Linked DNA regions of Rattus norvegicus. Each later gene encodes a partner of the first gene's protein in a complex. Links are inferred from orthologs where the notes say so. Each region holds a gene or a part of one and is shown in the gene's direction. Other genes may lie near its edges. The genes, in order: Tgfb3, Tgfbr2, Itgb8, Lrrc32 and Itgb6.

Region 1 (4,171 bases):
GGGTTGGGGCCAAGTGCTCAGCCGCACTGGATGGGGAGCGGCTGGCGCGTGGGGTCGGGACGTGATCGCAGGATCTGGTGTTGCTTGCCTCCAAGCTTCTGTCACTGGCGGCCCTGCCTCGCCAGAGGGCACCCTCGGCCTTCCGGAAAGTGCCATCATTTACCCCAGCAGCAGCTGCCGGGCTCGGGATGGTCAGTGAGGAACCGCTGCCAGGATCGCGGCCGAGCCCGGTTCCACCCTGGGGCCTGGAGAGAGTGGCCGGACCGCCCGGCCCTTCTCCCCTAGCGAACCTAGCCTGTGTCCCCTGTCCGACCGGGGGCGATCCGGGACGCGGGGGAGGCGAGAGCGCGAGGCGGGGAGCGTGGACTGACAGCTGGCCCCGGCGCAGAGGGGCCGGGGTAGCAGGAGGGAGGGGGCTCGGGAGTAACTTTCCAGAAAAACAGCCAACGTGTAGCAGGAATGACTCCAAGAGGAGGGGAAAAAAAAGTTCAGTTACCACGTCGAACCAGAGGACTCACAAAGTATTTTTCAAATGGGCTCGGCTTTTCCTGTGCCTGTTTAAAACATTAAAACCGTGCAGCGAGAGAGGCTGTGTGCGCTGGTCCCTCCCTCCCTCCCCCACCCCAGGCCGATACGTCATGGGAGGGAGGTATAAAATTTCAGCAGAGAGAAATAGAGAAAGCAGTGTGTGTGCATGTGTGTGTGTGAGAGAGAGAGAGGGAGAGGGAGGAGAGGGAGAAGGGGAGAGAGAAAGGGAGGGAAGAAGAGGGCCGAGTGTAGGGGGCTGAGCCACAGAGAGGCGAGACGCGCACGGGAAGGGCCTTGCGGAGGAAGAAATAACGCTTTCCGGAGTCAGCTGCGGTGAATCGGCTTCTATTTTCTTTTTCTTTTGATTTTTTTTTTAATTCCTAAAGAGAAGCAAGGGACAGAAGCCATGGCCGAGAGAGAAGATAAGCTGAGATGCTGGTGACCCTGGGTCCAAGTGGATTATCGGAGCTGTCTCCAAGAGGCCTGCCCTCCCAGTTTGCCAGTTGTATATAATCCCTCATCCCAGCCAATGAAGAGGAGAGGCAGCGCGAACAGAGTCATTTAGAAAGCCCCCGAGGAAGTGTAAACAAAAGGGAAAGCATGAATGGAGTGCTCCCGAGACAAGTGTGTCCCGCACTGCCCCCACCTTTAGCTGGGCCTGCCGTTGCCCAGCGCTGCCTCTCCCCACATACCCACTGGTGATTTTTTTTAAACATTTTTTTCCTTCTCTTTTCCATTCGCTTTTCTAATTCTCCCTTCAGGGCAAGGCAAAGAGCTTGATTTTTGGGACCCAGCCATGGCTCTTCTGCACTTTCTTTAAAATACTCACTTTCTCCTCATCGCCAAGCGGCGTTTGGCAATATCAGATATCCGCTCTATTTATTTTTACCTAAGGAAAAACTCCAGCTCTCTTCCCACTCCCAGCTGCCTTGCCACCCCTCCCAACCCTCGGCTTGCCCTCCACCTGGCCTGCTGGGAGTCAGAGCCCGGCAGAACCTGTTTAGATATATGGACAAGAATCCCAGCGCTACACAGCACACAGTCCGCTACTTCGTCCCGGGGTTGCCAGCGCTTCCTGGGAGTCCTGAAGCTCACACAGCGCAGTGAGTTCATGCACCCTCTTGCCAAGCCTCAGTCTTTGGGATCTGGGGAGGACGCCTGGTTTTCCTCCCCCTTTCTACTGGGGTCTCCTCCTTGCCAGGCCTCCCCAGTCCCCTGGCCTCGTTCCTGGGTTCACACATGAAGATGCACTTACAAAGGGCTCTGGTGGTCCTGGCCCTGCTGAACTTGGCCACAGTCAGCCTCTCTCTGTCCACTTGCACCACCTTGGACTTCGGCCACATCAAGAAGAAGAGGGTGGAAGCCATTAGGGGACAGATCTTGAGCAAGCTCAGGCTCACCAGCCCCCCTGAGCCGTCGGTGATGACCCACGTCCCCTATCAGGTCCTGGCACTTTACAACAGCACCCGGGAGTTGCTGGAAGAGATGCACGGGGAGAGGGAAGAAGGCTGCACTCAGGAAACCTCGGAGTCAGAGTACTATGCCAAAGAGATCCATAAATTCGACATGATCCAGGGGCTGGCGGAGCACAGTAAGTCCCAATGCTTGCTGGGTGTCTGCTCTGGAGGGGATGAACTGGAAAAGGGAGTTCCACAGAGGGGGGGCCTGGTGGCCCTTATACAGCAGAGCGCACCCCCGGGGGTTCAATACAGAGGTCAGGCCCTGCAGCTGCAGCTGGGTAGGTGGGTGGGAAAGGCGCAGAGACATTCTGGTAAGAGCCAAGGGCTTCAAGAGGCCAGGAGCCCTGAAGCCAAGTGGCGTTCGGAACTCCTAGGACACCCTTGGTGGGTAGTAACTGGGAACTGTATAGTGCCACCTAAGGAAACATGTTCTTACATATCTGTGTGTGAGAACACATAGAGGTTCACTGTGAGCACGTGGGTTCTGTAGAGGGGTGGGCTGGCTGGCCCCCAAATCCTCCTGGTCATCTGAGTCTGGACATCTCCATATTCTCCCTGCTTTTCCTGGCTCCTTATACCACATCTCTGGGTCAGCTTCCCGGCTTTCAGGAAACACAGTGTACCTGCCTCAAATTTGAGTTTGTTAAGCTGCTTTTGGAAGCCCAACCGAGGCTTTTCAGTCTAACACACACACACACACACACACACACACACACACACACACACACACACACACACACACGTGACCCACGTGAGCTGGGAGGGGGAGGGTAACACATGTATATTCCCACATACGTGGACTTTTGGGCAATATGGACTCTTACATTACACAGTAGACAGATTCATATGCATAAAGCAGGGCCTCCCAGGCTAATGGACACAGGAGGCCAGGATTGAGGTTCTGGATAGCCCAAGGCATCTGCCCAAGGGATGGCTGCGGGGGTGATGGGGATGTGTGTCTGGAAGTTTCTTCCCAGGAGGCTGCTGTCTGCGGAGGAACTGTGAAGCTTCTGGGTGAGACGCCTGTGTGTGTTTGTACACGTGTGGAAGTCATGTGTGTTTACTGAATGGGGATTTAAAAAAGCTCAATACAAGAGAGAGAAATTTGGCAGATGTTGAGAAACTGACAGCCCAGGAAAGAGGAATGTAAGCGGCTCTGGGCCTGAGTCCGGGAGCTGCTCTGTTTGCTTTTCCTGCCAGCAGGTGTCCTCCGTGCCCCGGTGACTTCAGCCCAGGCCCACCTCCCAGGTGGGCAGTGCCCAAGTTGGGGTGGAAGGGTTGGCTGGAGCCAGGAGGCTGGCATAGTCAGAGTGGCCATGGGGCAAACAGCAGGAGGCTAGAGAAACCCGGCTGCAGGGAAGGAACAGGAGTGAGCGCCAATGGGTGGAGCCGCTCTCAAGGAAGATGCAAAAGGCCAGTAGGAAGCTGGTCTACACCAGGCAGAAAGAAAAGTGTAGTTTCTGGAGGCAGGGATACAGGTGTTCTCGGGGCAGTTTCCTGTGACTGGCTGGAGTATCACCTTTTCTTAGGATCTGGCTACCCATGCAGAGTCCAGGCTGGAAACTAGACAGACCTGGAGCTCCCTGCCTAGGGTCTGCTTACTGGTGTCCGTTCAGGGACTGCCTGGTGACCACAGTTTATAGAGTCATCCAGGATTAGATGGGATGAACCCTTGACTCCTTGGTCACCTACCAAGGCGAGTCATAGTAGCCACAGATATCAGAGAAGGTCACAAGTCTGAGGGAAGTAGAGGATAAGAGGGTGGCCCTGGAACCCTCACAGTCTGGGTCAGGAAGAGAGTCTGAGAAGAAGGGATTCTGAGTCACTAGGGCCCACCCTGTCTAGAGCCCTGAGATGATGATGAGCAATCCATGTGAACACACGGCTACACAGGTAGGTGTGGATGTGGATTTTGTGCAGAAATCTAGGCTACAAAAGATGTAGCCTCAGACAAAGCCAGGACAGCCCACCACAGTTGTTGTGCAGTTCCCAGGTTGTAACATCAAGGGAAGTCATGGGGACAATGGAGTAGCGGTCTAGCCTGTGACAACTTGGCGCAGTGAACAAGAATATTTTCTCAATGCTAAGGAGGAGTCAGGGTTCAGTGGGGCAGAGGCAATGCCACGGAGGCTCACAGTACCATCAGGAAGCAGGCCCAGGCACTCTGCAGCTGGCACAGGTGA
Region 2 (4,029 bases), on another chromosome or scaffold:
GATTGAGGTACACATGGGATGTGAACTTACGGCCTCCACGTGCCCCACACAGACAGGTTCACACATGCACACGCGCACACCCACACACCCAAACCTACATGCACATGCATATGCACACACACACACGCACACACACACGCTCACGCACATGCACATGCATGCACACATGCACGCACACACACATACACCACAGAGATTGTCTCTGGAAAATGTGGTCACACCAGAAAGAATGAAAATTTTGATGGGTCTTCCTACTGATAGCCTTTCTACCTTCAGCCACGTATTTTCTGTCCTTACCTGAATTATCAAAGATTGATCATTGGAAAACAGAAAGCAGAACCCCCCAACCTAAGACACTTTTTATTTTATTTTTTATTCATTTTATTTTTGGTTTTCCAGGACAGTATAGCTTTAGCTGCCATAGAACTCACTCTGTAGACGAGGCTGGCCCCGAACTCGTAGAGTCCCGCCCACGTGCGCCATCCCAGCCTGGTCCCCAAAACACTTTTATTTCTTTAGTTTCTGACAGGCAACACCCTGAAAATACCAGCCCTACCGCGATCACAGGGCCAACTATTTGGCTTTACCCAGCAGACCACGCCCAGGAAATGGTCCTTCCAATCCGAGGCTCTACCCAGGTGCTCATTAGAAATGCAGACGCTGCCGGTTCAGACCTACTAAACCAGAACCTGCAGGTTAGCTAACTTCCTAGCCCAGAGTGATTAATTCGCACACTAAACTCGGAGACAAGCCCCTGGACTTTTGTTCCACAGTAAGAAACAGTCCTTTACAAACGTAATCACGCATGCATGTCCATAAAACTGAAACTAAGTTCTCATGAAGTGCTTACCGTTATTTTATTAGGGGAAACCACGTGTTCGGGACTCTGGAGCTACATTTCAGAGCTCCCTCCTGGGTCTCAACGGAGTTATGAAGTCCCTGGGAGCAATGCCTAGAAGGTGTAGGGGATGCTTGGAGGAGGGTATCAAGGAAAGTGGTTTACACCACCTTCTAGCTTGTTTTGCGAAACGTGCGCTTAGTCACTTCTGAGTTTGAACTTGGAGCCGGGACTTAGCAGGGTCGGGGTGAGTGGGAGCGCTGGGAGTGGGCAACTCAAAGTTCGTAGAGTCCCTCAAGGTCCAATCCAGCGGCCTTGATTGGTGGCCGGAGGAAGGCGAGGGCTGGAAGCTGGAGGAGAGGACCGGAGCTGGAAGGCTCTTGGGCGGCGAGAGGTCCTGCCCAGCTGTTGGCGAGGAGTTTCCTGTTTCCCTCCCGGCGCCCGGGTAAAGTTGATGAGTGAGTCACTCGCGCGCACCGACCGACGACACCCCCCGCGCGCGCACACGCTCGCCTGGGGGACGGAGCCCCAGCCTCCTGCGCAGCTCTCCTCGGCCGCCGGGGGCCTCCTCCGGGCCTCCGAGCTCCGGGGATCGCCGGCCACATCTGGCCCGCACCTCTGCCCAGCGCGCTCCGGGCGGCGCAGGCATCCTGAGAGGGCGAGGAATAAAGGCGCAGCCCGGGGTCCCCGAGGCTCGGTTCGCGGCGCCCCAGGGGCCGGTCTATGACGAGCGACGGGGGCTGCCATGGGTCGGGGGCTGCTCCGGGGCCTGTGGCCGCTGCACATCGTCCTGTGGACGCGCATCGCCAGCACGATCCCGCCGCACGTTCCCAAGTCGGGTGAGTGAGTGGCCGGGGCGCGACGCTGGGGGGTTCACTAGGGCTCCTCGCTCCTTCTCCAACCCCCAGGGCAGCGACTGACAGTCGGCCGCGGGACCCGGCGCGAGGGCGGAAACGGGAAGTTTGTAGCGGCCCGAGTCGGCTCGGGCCCGCGGGGTTCCGGGGAAGATCTCTCGCAAAAGAGCAGGACAGTCCACTTGCGGGGGACTTGGGGACGCTCCTGACCCCTTTGTGAGCGCACGAGAGGCGAGGGCGGCCACGAGGGGCCTGCATCCCCGGAAAGGGAAGTTTAAGAAGTTGGAAGTTGGAGGAGCATCGGCAGGGGACTGGCCGCCCAGCTGCTGCACACCTGGGCCGCTCACTGCCCGAGACACCGCGACTAAACCAGACTCCCAGCCCTCAGCTCTGCCACCTCGGGAGGGATTCTGGGCCGCGACTCACTGGGTACAAGTTAGAGAAAAGAACTGATCTCTAGCCTCACTGTTTCCTGGCCTGCTGGGATGCGGACCCAGTGAGGGTGGTCGGGTTGATGGCTGAGAAAAATTTGCTGCATGCCTACTAAGTGTTGGACTGCACGGGTACTGCCTGGAATTAAAGATCTCAGCAGCTGCGGTTCAGTGGAAACACCTAACCCGGGTTGCCCTCCAGGTCCCATCGCAGGGGTGGTGCAAGAACTAGGGCTCCTTCCTAAGAACTTTTTTGGGAAGTTTAAAGTCTGACATTTTAACCCTAAAGTTAGAATTGTTGCTGCTATCTGTGTAGGACCACTATCCGGGCAAATCTCGTGGCTCTGGGCCTCGGTTTCCCCTTGTGTATAACTCAGTGGTTCAGTTTGTGTAAGTTTACACTCTTTTCATCACTGGCTTTCCATGACCTTCCTTGGTGACTAAGAGGTGGCCAGGGTGGATTTGGGGTGAAACACAGAGGATGGGGTGGCCCTGTGTGTGCGTGTTGCCGGGCGCGGAGGTGGGGTTCGAGGGAGGGCTTTGAAGATGTCAGTAGTTGGAGTGATTTAACGGTTTTGGATCATATTGCAAACAGGAGCGGACCATCTCAGGGAAGAGTCCGATAAAGGAAAACAACAAAAATCCCACCAGGGTCTTAGTCGTTTCATAAACTCTGCTTTCGTGTCGTTGGTTTCCGTTAAAGGGCAGCTCCAGAAAGCCCAACTGTTTCTGATGTTACTCCAGCCTCTTAAAACTGGGCTGGGAGATTTGGCCCGGCTGGTAAGAGCATTTGCTGTGCAAGCTTGAGGACCTGAGTTCAAACCCCCCAGGGTCCGTATGCAAAGTTGGGCGTGGTTCATCGCCAGCCCAGTGGTAGTGAGAGAAGACTGAAGACCCTTTGGAAATTTCTAGATGCCAAGCTAGCTCTAGGTTCAGAGAGAGACTCCATGGAGAGTGACAGAGGGCACTTGGTGTCCTCCCCTGCCCCTTCCCATGCACACAGACCCTACCCCGAACACACATAAACACACGCAGGAAGAAAAAAATTAAAAGAAAAACTGCCGCGTTTTGCTGAAGACCATCCGAAAGAACACCCTTCTTTTTGTGTACATAAAACATTTGTTTTAGCTCGGGAAGAACCAAAGTCCAGAGGCCCCAGTTTGAGTTTTGTTTACAAGAGTGAGATTTGCGATTTTCGAGTTCCAGGCTCTGTAGCTTGTGGGTCATTTATACACAGTTTTAAACAATTAGCTGATGGGCTTGGTGGGTCTTGTTAATTTGGGCTTTAAATGATTTTATAAAACAGAGAGTTTTTTCTTTTTAAACATTTTATGGAATTGCTATTCCAGAATGTTTGGACAGTTCATTTTGAGTTGTACCCATGTGGATCAAAGTCTTTAAAGATGGTTTAAAGTTGGTCCCAGGGAAAGGATGTGTGGAATTCCACTTGCCTTTTCAGTTTCCAGAGAAGAAAAGGGTATTGGGATTTCTCTGACATAGTGGTAAACTGTGAGAATGTTTCTCAAGATAACTTTAATGCAAGAGACAATGAGAAGGAAGGAGGATTCTTTACAAAGCCCTAGTCAGTCCTAAACAAACAAATATCTCATGCTGACCAGCCTGGCAAGTGAACAAGCGATTTCAGTGTAAGAGAAATTCACACTAAAGAAAATTATTTAAAACTTCTTTTCCTCATGTTTCTCTGAGGGTGCTGTACATGAGTACTGGACTAGGGTGGGCACACCCTTGGGTGCTCATGGGTGTGGAGGCTGGAGGTTGACAGAGGGTGCTCATGGGTGTGGAGGCTGCAGGTTGACAGAGGGTGCTCATGGGTGTGGAGGCTGGAGGTTGACAGAGAGAGGGTGGTCTTCAGTTGTTCCACTTCATTTACTCAGGCAGGCTTCTT
Region 3 (3,509 bases), about 35 Mb from region 1:
GTTTAGATCTGAAACATCCCTCATGGCCCTTTGTTTGAACACTGTGTCCTCAGCTTCTGACACTGTTTAGAAAGGATATGGCTGGTATAGTGGGTCATTGGGAGAGACTTTCGGAAGCCATACCCAACTCTGCTACCTCTGTAACACTCTGATCCCTAATCTATAAAGATAAGAAAATAGTGGGTCATTGAGCTCCTGCTGCTCCAACTACCGTGCCATCTCCACCAAGATAACTGGCTGTATTCTCTAATCTGTGAGAGAAAACAATCTAACCTAAGTTGCCTCTATCCAGTATTGAGTCATGTACACAGTGATACACAGTGGCAGTCGCACAATAGGAAAAGAATCTTGATAGTGTGTAAATTTATGATAATTGTGCTACATAATAAAATATCACTGCAAACCACTAAGATGACTCAGTGACTACAGGTACTTGTTACACTTGACCACTCTAGTTCAATCCCTGGGATCCACAGGACAGAAGCACAGAACTGATTCTGACTCCTGCAAATTGTTGTCTAACCTCAGCATATATGTTGTGACAAGTGTGCTTACACACACACCAAATACAAATGAAAATGTCACTGTCTTACTGACATCTGAGATGTGTGAATGAAGACTGCATGATGTTTTTCTTTCTTTGAATTAGGAGCTGAAGCTAATTTTATGCTAAAAATCCGTCCCCTGAAGAAGTACCCTGTGGATCTTTATTATCTGGTTGATGTGTCAGCATCAATGCACAATAATATAGAAAAATTGAATTCCGTTGGAAACGATTTATCTAAAAAAATGGCCCTTTTTTCCCATGACTTCCGTCTTGGTTTTGGCTCATATGTGGATAAAACTGTCTCACCATACATTAGTATCCACCCGGAAAGGATCCACAATCAGTGCAGGTATCTAATGTTTCTTGTGAATAATAGTAAAAGAATCTTTCTTACGTTGTTTGTTCTAATATGAAGACTTACCGTGTTTCAAAATATTGTCTTCTTAAATAAAAGTTAAAAGTATTTGAAGAGGATCTTTCTTCTTCTCTGGAAACATTTAAGTTATATTTCCTCAAATATTGTTTATTTGCTTTTTGCCATAGGAGAAAACCTTACCTTTTACTAGTAATTTTGTATGAATTTACACCAATGAGGCTGACATACATATAAATACCTCTGGATATTGTATATTCCTCCTTTGTGGTTGCTCCAAATTTGTTGCTTTTAGGTTTGGCACATTTTATACTATTTATCATCACAATATTACACTGACATCTTACTATATTGTGATAGTGTATACTTGCATTGTTAATGATGTAACCAACTGTCTCAAAGATTATAGATCAAAAAATATGAATTTGATTCTAAATAGTACCTGCTTCCCCAAGCAAAGAAAACTAACTCCAGGCATGCAAGTTTATACATAGTACATCACTTGTTAAAATTTCAGAGAAATGACTCTGTAAACCTCTTGTCCCATAAATCATTTTCTTAAAGGAATTTTCTATTTCTATAAACTGCTCCAATCTTTTCACTCTACACATTCAAACTTGAAGAAATAGCTATCAATTAGACAAAATGGTATTGACTTATCTTTTACAGGACATTGAGAAGCCTTCTCCATTTCTTTATTCATTCATTCATAAGGTTTTCTGTGATCAGGTGTTACTTTGTAGCTTAGACTGACCCAGAATTCTCAATCCTGACACCTCCGCCTCCCTAGGGCTTCGGTAACATTATGCGGAGCTTGAACAATCTCCCTGAAGGAGAGCCTACCTGAGGAATGAGTCTCTTTCTGAGTTGCCAGAGTGTTACCAAAGTCATTCTCATAAGTTTTACTGCTCACTAATAGTTCCACAGCAAGCTTCATTTTCAAAATTAGTATGATATCTTTTTAGAAATAAAAATGCAATATGCTATTTAAGCTGAATTCCCCAATTATCTCCCTGGATGTATTTCTCATCAGCTCTAAGACCAACTGTGATAGAAAATTAGTACAAATTCTTAGGTTCCTCTTAAAAATTCAGCTGTCATTAGCATATTAAAATACTTCATTGTCCTGTGTTCATGAAATACATAGAATCTTGAGTTTTGAACATCAAACCTTATAGTTCTATATTCTACTCACAAACATTAAGTGTTCACCAACATTAAATTCTCCAGTCTTACAGACTTTCTGTTATAAAAATTTCCCCACCCATTTCTTCTTACAGCAACTACCTAATCTGACTGTTAATAGTGCTTTGAAAATTTTAAGGAAGCACAGAAAACTAGATTTTGAACTTCCTTTTCCCACACAGTGACTACAATTTAGACTGTATGCCTCCCCATGGATACATTCATGTGCTGTCTCTGACAGAAAACATCACTGAGTTTGAAAAAGCAGTCCACAGACAAAAGATCTCTGGAAACATAGACACTCCTGAAGGAGGTTTTGATGCCATGCTTCAGGCTGCCGTCTGTGAGGTAAGTTAGTTTTGCATACTGGGTGCATAAGTGCTCAGATGTAGATGAGAGGGCAAGAGTTTTATGTTCTAGTTGATTTGTGGAGTGGAAACAGTGTGAAGAAATACATTTAAAAAAATTTAACTTCTTATCACTATTGAGATTCATTTTGCTATATGCTGGGATAATGGAACCAGGTTGGGAAACAACTATAGAGAGAAGATGAGATTTAACAAAGAGAATGCTTTTTTCTTGTACACACCTTAAGACAGAGTCAGAAAGTCTTGTGTCCCACTCCTGTCATGTCATTTGGTTTTATTCTTCCTTCAGTGGACCATGTGCCCCTATAGTCAGGAACTAGAGTGGCCAGATGATAGTGAAGGAGAGAAGGGTAAACAAATACTTAGGCATGCTATTTTAGAGACAGTACATCATTCAAGCCCGACAATGTTTGTCAATTCAAACATATCGTTTACTTGAGGTAAAGACCGCAGTGAGATCCATGTCATTGTACAAGGTCTAATTACATGTTTATTTTAAGAGTCATATTGGATGGCGAAAAGAAGCTAAAAGATTGCTGCTGGTGATGACAGACCAGACATCACATCTCGCTCTTGACAGCAAATTGGCAGGCATAGTGGTGCCAAATGACGGAAACTGCCATCTGAAAAACAATGTCTACGTCAAATCAACAACCATGGTAATGTAGCAACAGCCTTTCCTAGCTATAATGACCTCTTAGGCTAAAATTAAAGTTAAAATTGTCAATTCAGCCACTCTTGTCCCAGGAAATTACCTAAAAGCAAGTTGCAAAACCAAGATGGACCAGGAACCAACACCTATGGAGCAGAATACTCTACAATTACTGGTTGAGAAAGTTGATGTCTGAACGTCACTGATACTGTCTAGTATCTGACTCTGACAAGCTACTAAGAACTGTAGAGGTTTTTTTGGTTTTGAGTTTTTATTTTTTTTCAAATAAAGTGATAATAAGGGCTTATTTTCATGTGATTCAGAGGTCTTATAAAGAAAGAAAAACAAGGCTTTGCTTTGTGGAAATAAGCTACTTCTATGAGT
Region 4 (4,174 bases), on another chromosome or scaffold:
TGACCCCATGGACACGAACCTGAAAAAGGTGTCGGACACCTAAAGCTGCAGATGAGGGGAGGAACATTCTCTAACATCCATTGGGTACAGGCCCATCAACTTCATCCTGTCCTCGTACTATGTCCAAAAGAGCAGCTCTTGTCATCCCATACTTTGCAGAGAGGGAAACTGAAGTTCAGTCTGACTAGATAGTACAGACAAGGGCTGGGGTGCTCCTGGGAGCCAGGACCCTGTGAGTTCCTGAGGTGGGGGTGGGGGGACAGGAAGCTTGGCTACTCTGCTGCCCTGACATCAGGGGATGCCTCCTTCATGAAACTTTTCCTGACCGTAGTGTCAGGGTTCCCACTACTCAGCACTGAATTAGATGGGAGGGAAGGCCCAGCTCCACTCTGGCTCACCCTGCTTGGTGCTGCTTACTCTCACGCTGGCTGCCGTTAAGATATGGTGGACGGCTTTGAATCTTTGCTCATGCTCTGCCCATGCTCCAGAGTAGCCACAAGCCCCTTTTTTGGTACATGACCCCATGGACGCGAACCTGGGAGAACATTATGAATGCCGAACCAGGGACTGGAACACAGTGGTAACGCTCTTCTCCCAGGATCACCCATCTTTCAGTCTAGACCCAGCAGGACACGGTGCCAGTGACTGAGAAGGCTAAGTACTTGAAAAGGCAGCAGCTTTGGGTAAGTTGTGAGACTATCATTATGCAATTCAAGCTATGCGAGCCTCGGGTCCTCCAACTGTACGCAGGGAACTGACAAGTCTCAGTCAACTGGCTTTTCATACATATTCGCCGTCCTATCCTTCACCCCAACTCCAACTCCTGGCCTCAGTTTCTCCATCCGTTAGTTGGAGACTTTGACAGGCTTAGAGATGACTTAAAGGCAGGATACCCGAGGTACGGGGGAACCCCCTCAGGGTCGTCCCAGGGCCAAAGAAGGGTCACTTCCTTCCGTGCCCGAGGTTGTCAGTCACCTCTGGGTGAGCCCACCCCCACCCCACCCCACCCCCGCCTTAGTGCGGTGGCGCCAGGATTTCCTCCGCGGACCTGCGGCTCCCCGCACCCCAGACCTCGCATGCCCACGGCTGCACGTGCGCTGCCCCCGCTCAGTTTCCTTTGTGATCCTTCTCCCTCCAGACGTTTTTCGGTTTCAAGTGCCGCCCTGGCCCGGGGCGGGCGATTCGAGAGCAGAGGTGATGTTCGGTTCCTAGGTCCGCGCAACTGGCAGGGCGGTGTTAGGACCCCGCGGCTCCCAGCCCCAGGGGGCGTGGCCGAGAGGGGTGCTATTTAAAAGGCGGGAGCCGCCCCCTTGCCGCCGGCTGGAGCGGCGCTAGAGCAGCCGGGCCACGGCGGGCCAGACCCCCGGGGTTGTGCGAACGATGTTCGGAGGAGTCGGGCGGCGGCGGCGGCGCTGAGCCAGGTAGGGGCGGCGGAAGGCGGCGGTGCCTAGGGAGCTGGGGCCGGACTCTCCTTCTGCACCCGGGTATTAGCTTATCTACCCAGGGAAGGGTTCGGATAGGCGTTCCCATTTGACAGCTGGGAAAATCGAGGCCGGAAACTCCGTGCGTGCCTCGGAGCATACAGCCAACCTAGCACTTAAGGATTTGAATTCAGGTCTGCCCCAGGCGGACATGGGCTTTCCGCACCATCACTCTTGTCTCTGGAGGGGATACCCAGCACTCTGGGGAGACTTGAAGCCTCCCTTCTTTATGGATAGGAGGAATCCCCTACCCCATCTCCTCCCTGACATTTCACATCATATGCTCATTCCTTTGGGTTAAAGTCTGATCCCCTGAGATGTGGGATGTCTCTAGAATGGGCTGCCCTTAGTGATTCACTGCCCTGTGAGCCTTGAAGCTGCTCTCCCAGACCCCTTTTGCCAGTACATCATAGCAGATTGAGAGCCCTACCACTCAGTGTACTCCTGAGCCAGGCCCAGGACCTGTGGGCTCCTCGGCTACCTTAGGAAGGAAGTCTTGGCAGTTGCTTTGGAGACACAGGGCTTGGATTCTGATTCTGACTCTTCTGTTTACTGTACAAGTGACTTTGGGTAAGTCATTTCTCTGAACCACATGGTCCAGGAGAGATTTCTACAGGGTGCCAGTGGGGTCTGCACTAGTAGAGACCACACAGCACTAAGGGACTATATAGATCTGGCTCGGTCCCAGTTTTAGCACACGTAGGGCCTAGGGATCAGGCATTTGGCCTTCCCAAACCTCCGTTCCGTCCTCTGGTCTGTATATGGGAATTATAGTAATCACCTCACTTGGTGGTCATGAGAATTAAAAGACCCGTAATCGACCTATGGCTTAGAAAAATGTGTGACCTCCTTGTATAGTAGGGGCAGTCTTATTTTTATTATAGGATTGCCCCCATTATCTGTCTGTCTGTTTCCCTCTGTCACACACACACACACACACACACACACACACACACACACACACAGAGAGAGAGAGAGAGAGAGAGAGAGAGAGAGAGAGAGAGAGAGAGATTCTTTGACACCTCTCCAATCAGAATCCAGCCACCTGCCTGCAGAGCTAGGACCTCTCTCCTCAGCACCATTGGTACTGAACCTTCAGGGAAGGACACTGTAGGGCCTTAGTGCTTTCCTGGCCACACCCCACCTCATCATCCCATGGCTAAGGATAGCTAGTGTCCGAATGGGAACTGGTGTACGCTGCAGATGAATCACCCAGGCAGAACTTGCCCTGGGGGCCATACTAGTGAGTGTTGGGACTTGACAGTGACCCAGGGTTCGAATGCCTCTGGTCTTCCCTGTGGGACTGAAGATCTCAATGCTGCAGATGGGGCACAGCAGGGAGTTTCTCCATCATATTTCTGTGGTTCAGTGGGGGCTGTCCCTTCTGGATATGCAGAAGCCCTATGGTGGGGTAGAACAGGACTTGGCAGAAGAAGGAGAGATAGGGTCCCTTTGGGCATCCCCAGCTTAACCCCAGGTCCTGACTTGTCCTTACTGCAGCCAAACTTCTGACGTAATTCAGCCACTTGTTCCCTGAGAGAAGTTTAGTGAGCATATACTTAAGGAATGAAGCAAATGAGAAATGGGGGGAGGAGGGATACAGCACCCAGGAGCTTGAGCAGGAACATCCTGGACCAGGAGGGAGCAGCAAAGCAGAGTCCCCAGGCAGCCAGGAAGGTACTGAGGTGACTGAGGAGTCTGCTGAGGGGGGAAAGGTGGTAGGAGGAGCTGATGGGCGAGTGTGTGAAGCCTGAACACTACTGGAGATTTCAAAGTGATTTGTAAGATCTGGCATGTGACTTTGAAACGTCACTGGCTGCCATGGATGGGACAGATTGTCCCGTACTGGAGGGAAGCAAGAACACAAACAGTGGAGTTGGCTGTTACAGTGAAGGTGGGCAGCTTTGAACCTGGTGGGCTAGGGCAGGGAGGGGATGGGGGGGGGGATGGAGGGAGTTGGGAGACCTCTCCTCATCTGCATCCCACAGAGGAGATTTGCCTGCCGCTGTGCTCTCTATCTGGCTTCCCTGTGTCATGAGGTGTACCCACGGGTACTTTCATTTTAAAGGGTAGGGAATCATAGTGGGGTGTGCTCTGTGCCCCACACTGGGCTGTCCAAAGCTCAGCAACTTCAAGAGCCCGGAGAACACAAGGCATCTGTGGGGGACCAGAAAAGGCTCCCCAGAGGATCTGGCATCTAAGCTCCACGGGGTGAGGAAATATTCAGCTGCAGGGGAGGCAGAGGAAGTGAGGGTTCCAGAGGTCCAAAGGAAGCACACGTGTGTACATGTGTTCAGGGCCCAGAGAGAGTGGGGACAATGTCAAGTCAGGTGGGAGACAAGAGTTGGCCCAGGGAGGGCTGGCTGCCCAGGGCCTGGAGATGAAGGCCGGGGGTTTTCATTTAGCTCTAAGAATGCTGATGTTAAGCAGGTGGGGACTTCATTTGAACCAAAGGAACAAAATTTCCTCATAGCCTGCAGTGAAAGTGGAGCACTGTGGGGCAGGGCTGGGCTCTGGGGGAGCCAGGAAGGAGAGTCAAAAGGCCCATGCTGGCCCCTGTGTGTCTCAGCAAGATGGACAGCCACTGCACTGAGATTCATCCCCAGTGGGTTCTGACCGTCAAAAGAGCAGGCACAGGCCTGCAGATCTCTCCCAAGGCCGTCTTCAGAGTGACAAGTCTCATTCTCTTACCG
Region 5 (4,250 bases), on another chromosome or scaffold:
TATGTCAACTAAAAATTTATCTTAAAAGAGCATATCTGACACAAATGCTCAGAAAACACTTGCCGATGGGTTTTAAAAATGGCGGCAGTATCATAGACAGAGAATCATGGTTCCAACATCCTTCGAATGCAGGCACACATTTCACACTCTGTTTTTTTTTTCCTCTCTCTCAAAGTCTCATCTTTCAGCTCTCTGATCTGGATTCTTACTGCAGGAATCTTTCTGTTTTCTTCCTGGATTGCGTATATGACAGAGTTGAAAACAGACTATAGGCTGCTGGGAAGAAGAAAAAAAAAATCTGAGTACACTATAATTTGTTTTCTTCTCTTTCCAGGTTTCTCACGCCTGCCTGGAAACATACCTTCAAAAGATAGTCTCCCAGGCCTTGAGCTGAGACATAAAGGAGCCTGCCTAAGGTCAGACGGCTTAGAGTGACAGAGTATTTGATTCTTACCTCTCACAGTTTCTACAGGTCCTGAAAGGCCCCTGAAGGGAGGGTGGGGGAGAGGGGGCGGGGGATACGAACCTTGAAGATTTACCTGTAGAATGCACACATTTTGAGCTGTCATTCATAATACAAATAAATGATTCCTATGTGCCAAGCCGGGAGCTGGGAGGCTTTCCTTTCCTTTCCTTTCCTTTTTTTTTTTTTTTTTTTAACCTTGCTTTTAGTAATCATTTGTTTGCTTTGCGATCTTGGTACTTGAAGAGGCGCGCAGGACCTTCTGTGTGTCCAGCGAATGCTCTCTGTCGTCACCGCCCTGGAAGAATGCTCTAGAGACAGATTCAGAATCTTGGCTGCGATTGTTTCTCCCTGCATTGTTTCTGTTGTTACGCTGAGGCTTTCTTTCCATCCAGTTGATCTCCATATACAGTGCTTTTTAATGCACTTTTAAAAAAATAAGAATTCTGGGCGTGTGAAAAAAATACCTCTTATATAATTTGAAAGATAAGAAAACAGTGTTTGGTTCTCCTTTGCCTAACTTCTAATTTGACTGTAAAATAATGTTTTTATTTTCCAGAGCTCGTTTGAATTCTCTGCAGAGGCTCTAACATGAAAACCAAAAATTTCAGGTATTTTCGGTTGGCTTTTTTTTTTTTTTTTAATTAGCCTTCCTTATATTTAGCTTAAGTTCTGGTGTTTTGCTTCACATCCTCACTGCCTTAAACTAAAAATTGTCATAAGAAGCATACATTTAAATCCGTCTTTTGACAGCTCCTTGATTAGCATTTCACTGAAGAGACCGAGTCTCTCTAGGATACAGTACAGCTAATAGAATGCTCACACATAAAAATGTCTCCTGCACCCGAGTCTCCCCACCTTCTCGGTGATTGCACACCTGACTTCCTTATAAGGCGAATGAGGAAGTACGCATGTTGAAGTTGCTTTTAAACACAGCTTTTCTTCTTTGCCTGGCCAGGTAGCTTCTGTTTTCATTTCAGTCTTAATGAAAGCTTTCGAATTTACAGCTCAAGTTACTTTTCAAAGCAGTGTAAGTAGTTTTACTTAAAAAAAAAAAAAAAAAAAAAAAACACTGCAAGAAAGACTTTCACGGCTTCCAGCTTTGGTCTTGTAACCCTGAAGGTAATTCATTTTTAATCTGTCTGCACAGTGAAAACTGAACCGAATGGGGATTGAGCTGGTCTGCCTGTTCCTGCTACTTCTAGGAAGGAATGATCACGTCCAAGGTAAGCCCGGAGCTCTCTCGGATATCGCTCTCATCATGGGCTTGACAAACTGTCATTTGGTTCAGAAAACAGACCCGCAGTCATTTTTCATTTGACCTGTCTGATGGCTCTCCTGCCACTGAGGCACTTGTACAAACTGTAGGCAGGCATAGGGCATTCCCCCCAGTGAACGTTCTAGGTACAAGGTAAATAAACGCAAAGGCTTCACGGGCATTTTAATGAGGAGGATCAGACAGCGTTCCTGAACGATGTGACTTCTGAGTGTTGTTCTGATAGCCACTTCGGAAGCTTTTCTGCTTTGTTACACAACAAGACCATCCACCTGGGAGTCATAATCATGAGTGTGGAAGATTCAGAACCAGAAATGCTGAATTTATACGAGAAACCTCTTTAATGGGTACAGACTTGTTTTTGAAATTAAGTGGCAGGTGTTGAACTGGAGCTGAATCCGATGATTCTGTACTGAGCGGTTAGACATGGTTGTGGTCTGAGAGACTGCTTACATGATGGAGATATAAGCTATAAACTTTGATGTGAGTTGCTGGCCGTCCGAGGATTAATTTCTATATAGCTTTGCTCGAGGAGGAAGGGTTAGTCCTGTAAACGGAATGAAGGGAGAGGGCTTTAATCCTTGGTTGTTTGCCCTTAGGTGGCTGTGCCTGGAGTGGTGCAGAAACCTGCTCAGACTGCCTGCTCACAGGACCTCACTGCGCCTGGTGCTCCCAGGAGGTAAATCCCTGGCTATTGCCCTGTTTCTAACACTGTTTCCACATCCATTAACGTCCTCAGTGAAAGCGCTTCTCTCTGTGGGGTTGAATGACTAACTAGATCGAGAATGGAATGTGGGAGTCAGTGGATCAAAGTTTGTTTTCATCTATACCTTGGAAACGACTCACTGAGGGAACGGATGTCACACTGTCCTTTAAAAACTTAACATCCTTTATTAAATCTAGGCAATTCTCTTATTTAATATAGTCACTTTACTTACTTTTGATTTTTATTTTAGAGACAGGGTCTCACGACATAGCACTGGCTGGCCTGGAACTCACAGAGATGTGGCTGCCTCTGCCTGGCCAGTGGTGCCAGCCTTCCCTTACTATAAAGTCTTTCTAGCTGTTTGCTGGTGTAACATTCTGTCTGGATAATTGGTGGCCATGGAGATATTGTCCAAAGTGACGCAGACATTGAATGCTGATATAATGTAGTTGTGCTCCCTCTGGGACCTGAGAGCCATTGTAAGTCTCTGCTAGGTACTTCAAGAAGGGAAAACTATGATTCAGGCATCAGCCAATTCTTTTGCATAGTCCTGAACAGAGTGAGCACAGCACAGTTCAAAAGCAGTGCAGTGGTTCTCAACCTGTAGGTCACAATCCCTGACTGGGTTGAATGACCCTTTCAAAGGAGTCGCCCGAGATCATTGAAAAACACATAGATTTACATGACGACTCCTAACAGTAGCAAAATCACAGTTATGCAGTATCAACGGAAGTAATTTTGTGGTTGGGAAGGTCACCACAACATGAGGAACTGTATTAAAGGGGTTGCAGCATTTGGAATGTTGAGAACTACTGCTCTAAAGAAACGGTCCTTGTCTGGACAGAGTGAAACTTGTGTGAAGAAGTATGGAGACTGTGAGGACTGAATAACAAGATAGACCAAGTCACAGCCCGTGTCGTGATGCGGAGAGCACGGTGTAGTGTAAAGGATTCACACTAAGAAAAAGCAGCCTTTGGCTTTCTGGATTTTAAGTCCCACCCATTGGAAAGAATCTAAGTGCCAATCAAGGCTTGCAAATGCCAACAGCAGGAGCCAGGTAGCATGCAAAGGGAAAGGAATCTAGATGCCTGGATTAGAACTGGGCTGTAACTGTTAGCACCCAAATCCCCTGTTCATTATGGATCTGTGGAGGGTTGCCTCACATGCAGAAAGTCTCCCCACCCCTGTGCCTCTACACACACACACACACACACACTGCCTTAACTGCTTAGGCAACAAATAACATTCAAGGCAATTATTTTCTTTTAAGGTCAAATATCAAATGCAAGGTTGAGAATATTCAACAAGGAACGAACCCATACACTCTTGTCTAGAAGACAGTATTCGTTTCATAGCAGAGACAAAACATATTGTATCTATCTAGAGTGTATGTTTACTGCGTGTGTGTGTGTGTGTGTGTGTGTGTGTGTTTGTGTGTGTGTGTGTGTGTGTGTGCGCGCGCGCATGGAGGCCAGAAGAGGGAATCAGAACGCCTGAATTACACTTACAGGCAGTTGCAAGTTTCTTGACATGGGTGCCGGGATTTGAACTTGGGTCCTCTAGAAGAGCAATATGCACTCTTAGCCATTGACCTATCTCTTCAGTTCACTAGAATTTATAACTAAATTCATTTTTTAGCATAAATAAGTGTTTCCTAAGGTGTCACTGAGAGTTTGAGTTATAGCTGGTCAGGTGATCATCAAGTATTGGGGCCAAACCATTTTAGAGGCCTCTCCAATAACGAAAGCAGTCACGAGCACGTCAACTGTGGCCATTAGAGCGAAGAATGAGCCAAACGGAGAGTA

The links.
Region 2: the proteins of Tgfb3 (region 1) and Tgfbr2 are in contact, whole or in part, in a crystal structure (PDB 9B9F), measured with the Homo sapiens proteins. The link is inferred for Rattus norvegicus from reciprocal best matches to the Homo sapiens genes TGFB3 and TGFBR2. Residues at the interface, in NP_001316868.1 of Homo sapiens: Arg325, Lys331, Trp332, His334, Tyr390, Tyr391, Val392, Gly393, Arg394; in NP_003233.4 of Homo sapiens: Leu50, Phe53, Asp55, Ser72, Ile73, Thr74, Ser75, Ile76, Glu78, Val100, Asp141, Glu142.
Region 3: the proteins of Tgfb3 (region 1) and Itgb8 are in contact, whole or in part, in a cryo-EM structure (PDB 8VS6), measured with the Homo sapiens proteins. The link is inferred for Rattus norvegicus from reciprocal best matches to the Homo sapiens genes TGFB3 and ITGB8. Residues at the interface, in NP_001316868.1 of Homo sapiens: Gly262, Asp263, Leu264, Arg266, Leu267, Lys268; in NP_002205.1 of Homo sapiens: Ser156, Ala157, Ser158, Asn161, Arg206, Gln210, Cys211, Tyr214, Leu216, Ser247, Gly248, Asn249, Ile250, Asp251, Thr252, Glu254.
Region 4: the proteins of Tgfb3 (region 1) and Lrrc32 are in contact, whole or in part, in a cryo-EM structure (PDB 8VSB), measured with the Homo sapiens proteins. The link is inferred for Rattus norvegicus from reciprocal best matches to the Homo sapiens genes TGFB3 and LRRC32. Residues at the interface, in NP_001316868.1 of Homo sapiens: Leu24, Ser25, Thr26, Cys27, Thr28, Leu30, Pro347, Pro349, Tyr350, Leu351, Arg352, Thr357, His358, Val361, Leu364, Leu368, Ser375; in NP_001122394.1 of Homo sapiens: Ala110, Ser135, Tyr137, Ser160, Val184, Met186, Asp187, Ile188, Asp190, Phe193, Leu202, Leu204, Arg206, Asn207, Ser208, Thr210, Cys211, Ile212, Ser213, Asp214, Phe215, Ser216, Leu217, Cys227, Asn228, Ser229, Lys254.
Region 5: the proteins of Tgfb3 (region 1) and Itgb6 are in contact, whole or in part, in a crystal structure (PDB 4UM9), measured with the Homo sapiens proteins. The link is inferred for Rattus norvegicus from reciprocal best matches to the Homo sapiens genes TGFB3 and ITGB6. Residues at the interface, in NP_001316868.1 of Homo sapiens: His259, Gly262, Asp263, Leu264, Arg266, Leu267, Lys268; in NP_000879.2 of Homo sapiens: Ser142, Ala143, Ser144, Asp147, Pro196, Cys197, Ser199, Ile200, Tyr202, Cys204, Ala234, Asn235, Ile236, Asp237, Thr238, Glu240, Asp271, Lys355.

The regions. Positions count from the first base shown.
Region 1 is NC_086024.1:111,454,145-111,458,315, reverse strand, and holds the start of Tgfb3 (transforming growth factor beta-3 proprotein preproprotein), read left to right. Parts: upstream 1-1,369; 5' UTR 1,370-1,767; coding exon 1,768-2,119; intron 2,120-4,171. UniProt on the Homo sapiens protein: Transforming growth factor beta-3 proprotein: Precursor of the Latency-associated peptide (LAP) and Transforming growth factor beta-3 (TGF-beta-3) chains, which constitute the regulatory and active subunit of TGF-beta-3, respectively.
Region 2 is NC_086026.1:124,758,668-124,762,696, reverse strand, and holds the start of Tgfbr2 (TGF-beta receptor type-2 precursor), read left to right. Parts: upstream 1-1,227; 5' UTR 1,228-1,583; coding exon 1,584-1,677; intron 1,678-4,029. UniProt on the Homo sapiens protein: Transmembrane serine/threonine kinase forming with the TGF-beta type I serine/threonine kinase receptor, TGFBR1, the non-promiscuous receptor for the TGF-beta cytokines TGFB1, TGFB2 and TGFB3.
Region 3 is NC_086024.1:146,299,238-146,302,746, reverse strand, and holds part of Itgb8 (integrin beta-8 precursor), read left to right. Parts: intron 1-649; coding exon 650-896; intron 897-2,287; coding exon 2,288-2,453; intron 2,454-2,973; coding exon 2,974-3,132; intron 3,133-3,509. UniProt on the Homo sapiens protein: Integrin alpha-V:beta-8 (ITGAV:ITGB8) is a receptor for fibronectin. It recognizes the sequence R-G-D in its ligands.
Region 4 is NC_086019.1:162,196,335-162,200,508, forward strand, and holds the start of Lrrc32 (transforming growth factor beta activator LRRC32 precursor), read left to right. Parts: upstream 1-1,368; 5' UTR 1,369-1,421; intron 1,422-2,466; exon of another isoform or gene 2,467-3,158; intron 3,159-3,172; exon of another isoform or gene 3,173-3,302; coding exon of another isoform or gene 3,303-3,375; intron 3,376-4,174.
Region 5 is NC_086021.1:65,527,526-65,531,775, reverse strand, and holds the start of Itgb6 (integrin beta-6 precursor), read left to right. Parts: upstream 1-1,442; 5' UTR 1,443-1,493; intron 1,494-1,613; 5' UTR 1,614-1,628; coding exon 1,629-1,689; intron 1,690-2,338; coding exon 2,339-2,418; intron 2,419-4,250. UniProt on the Homo sapiens protein: Integrin alpha-V:beta-6 (ITGAV:ITGB6) is a receptor for fibronectin and cytotactin. It recognizes the sequence R-G-D in its ligands. Internalization of integrin alpha-V/beta-6 via clathrin-mediated endocytosis promotes carcinoma cell invasion.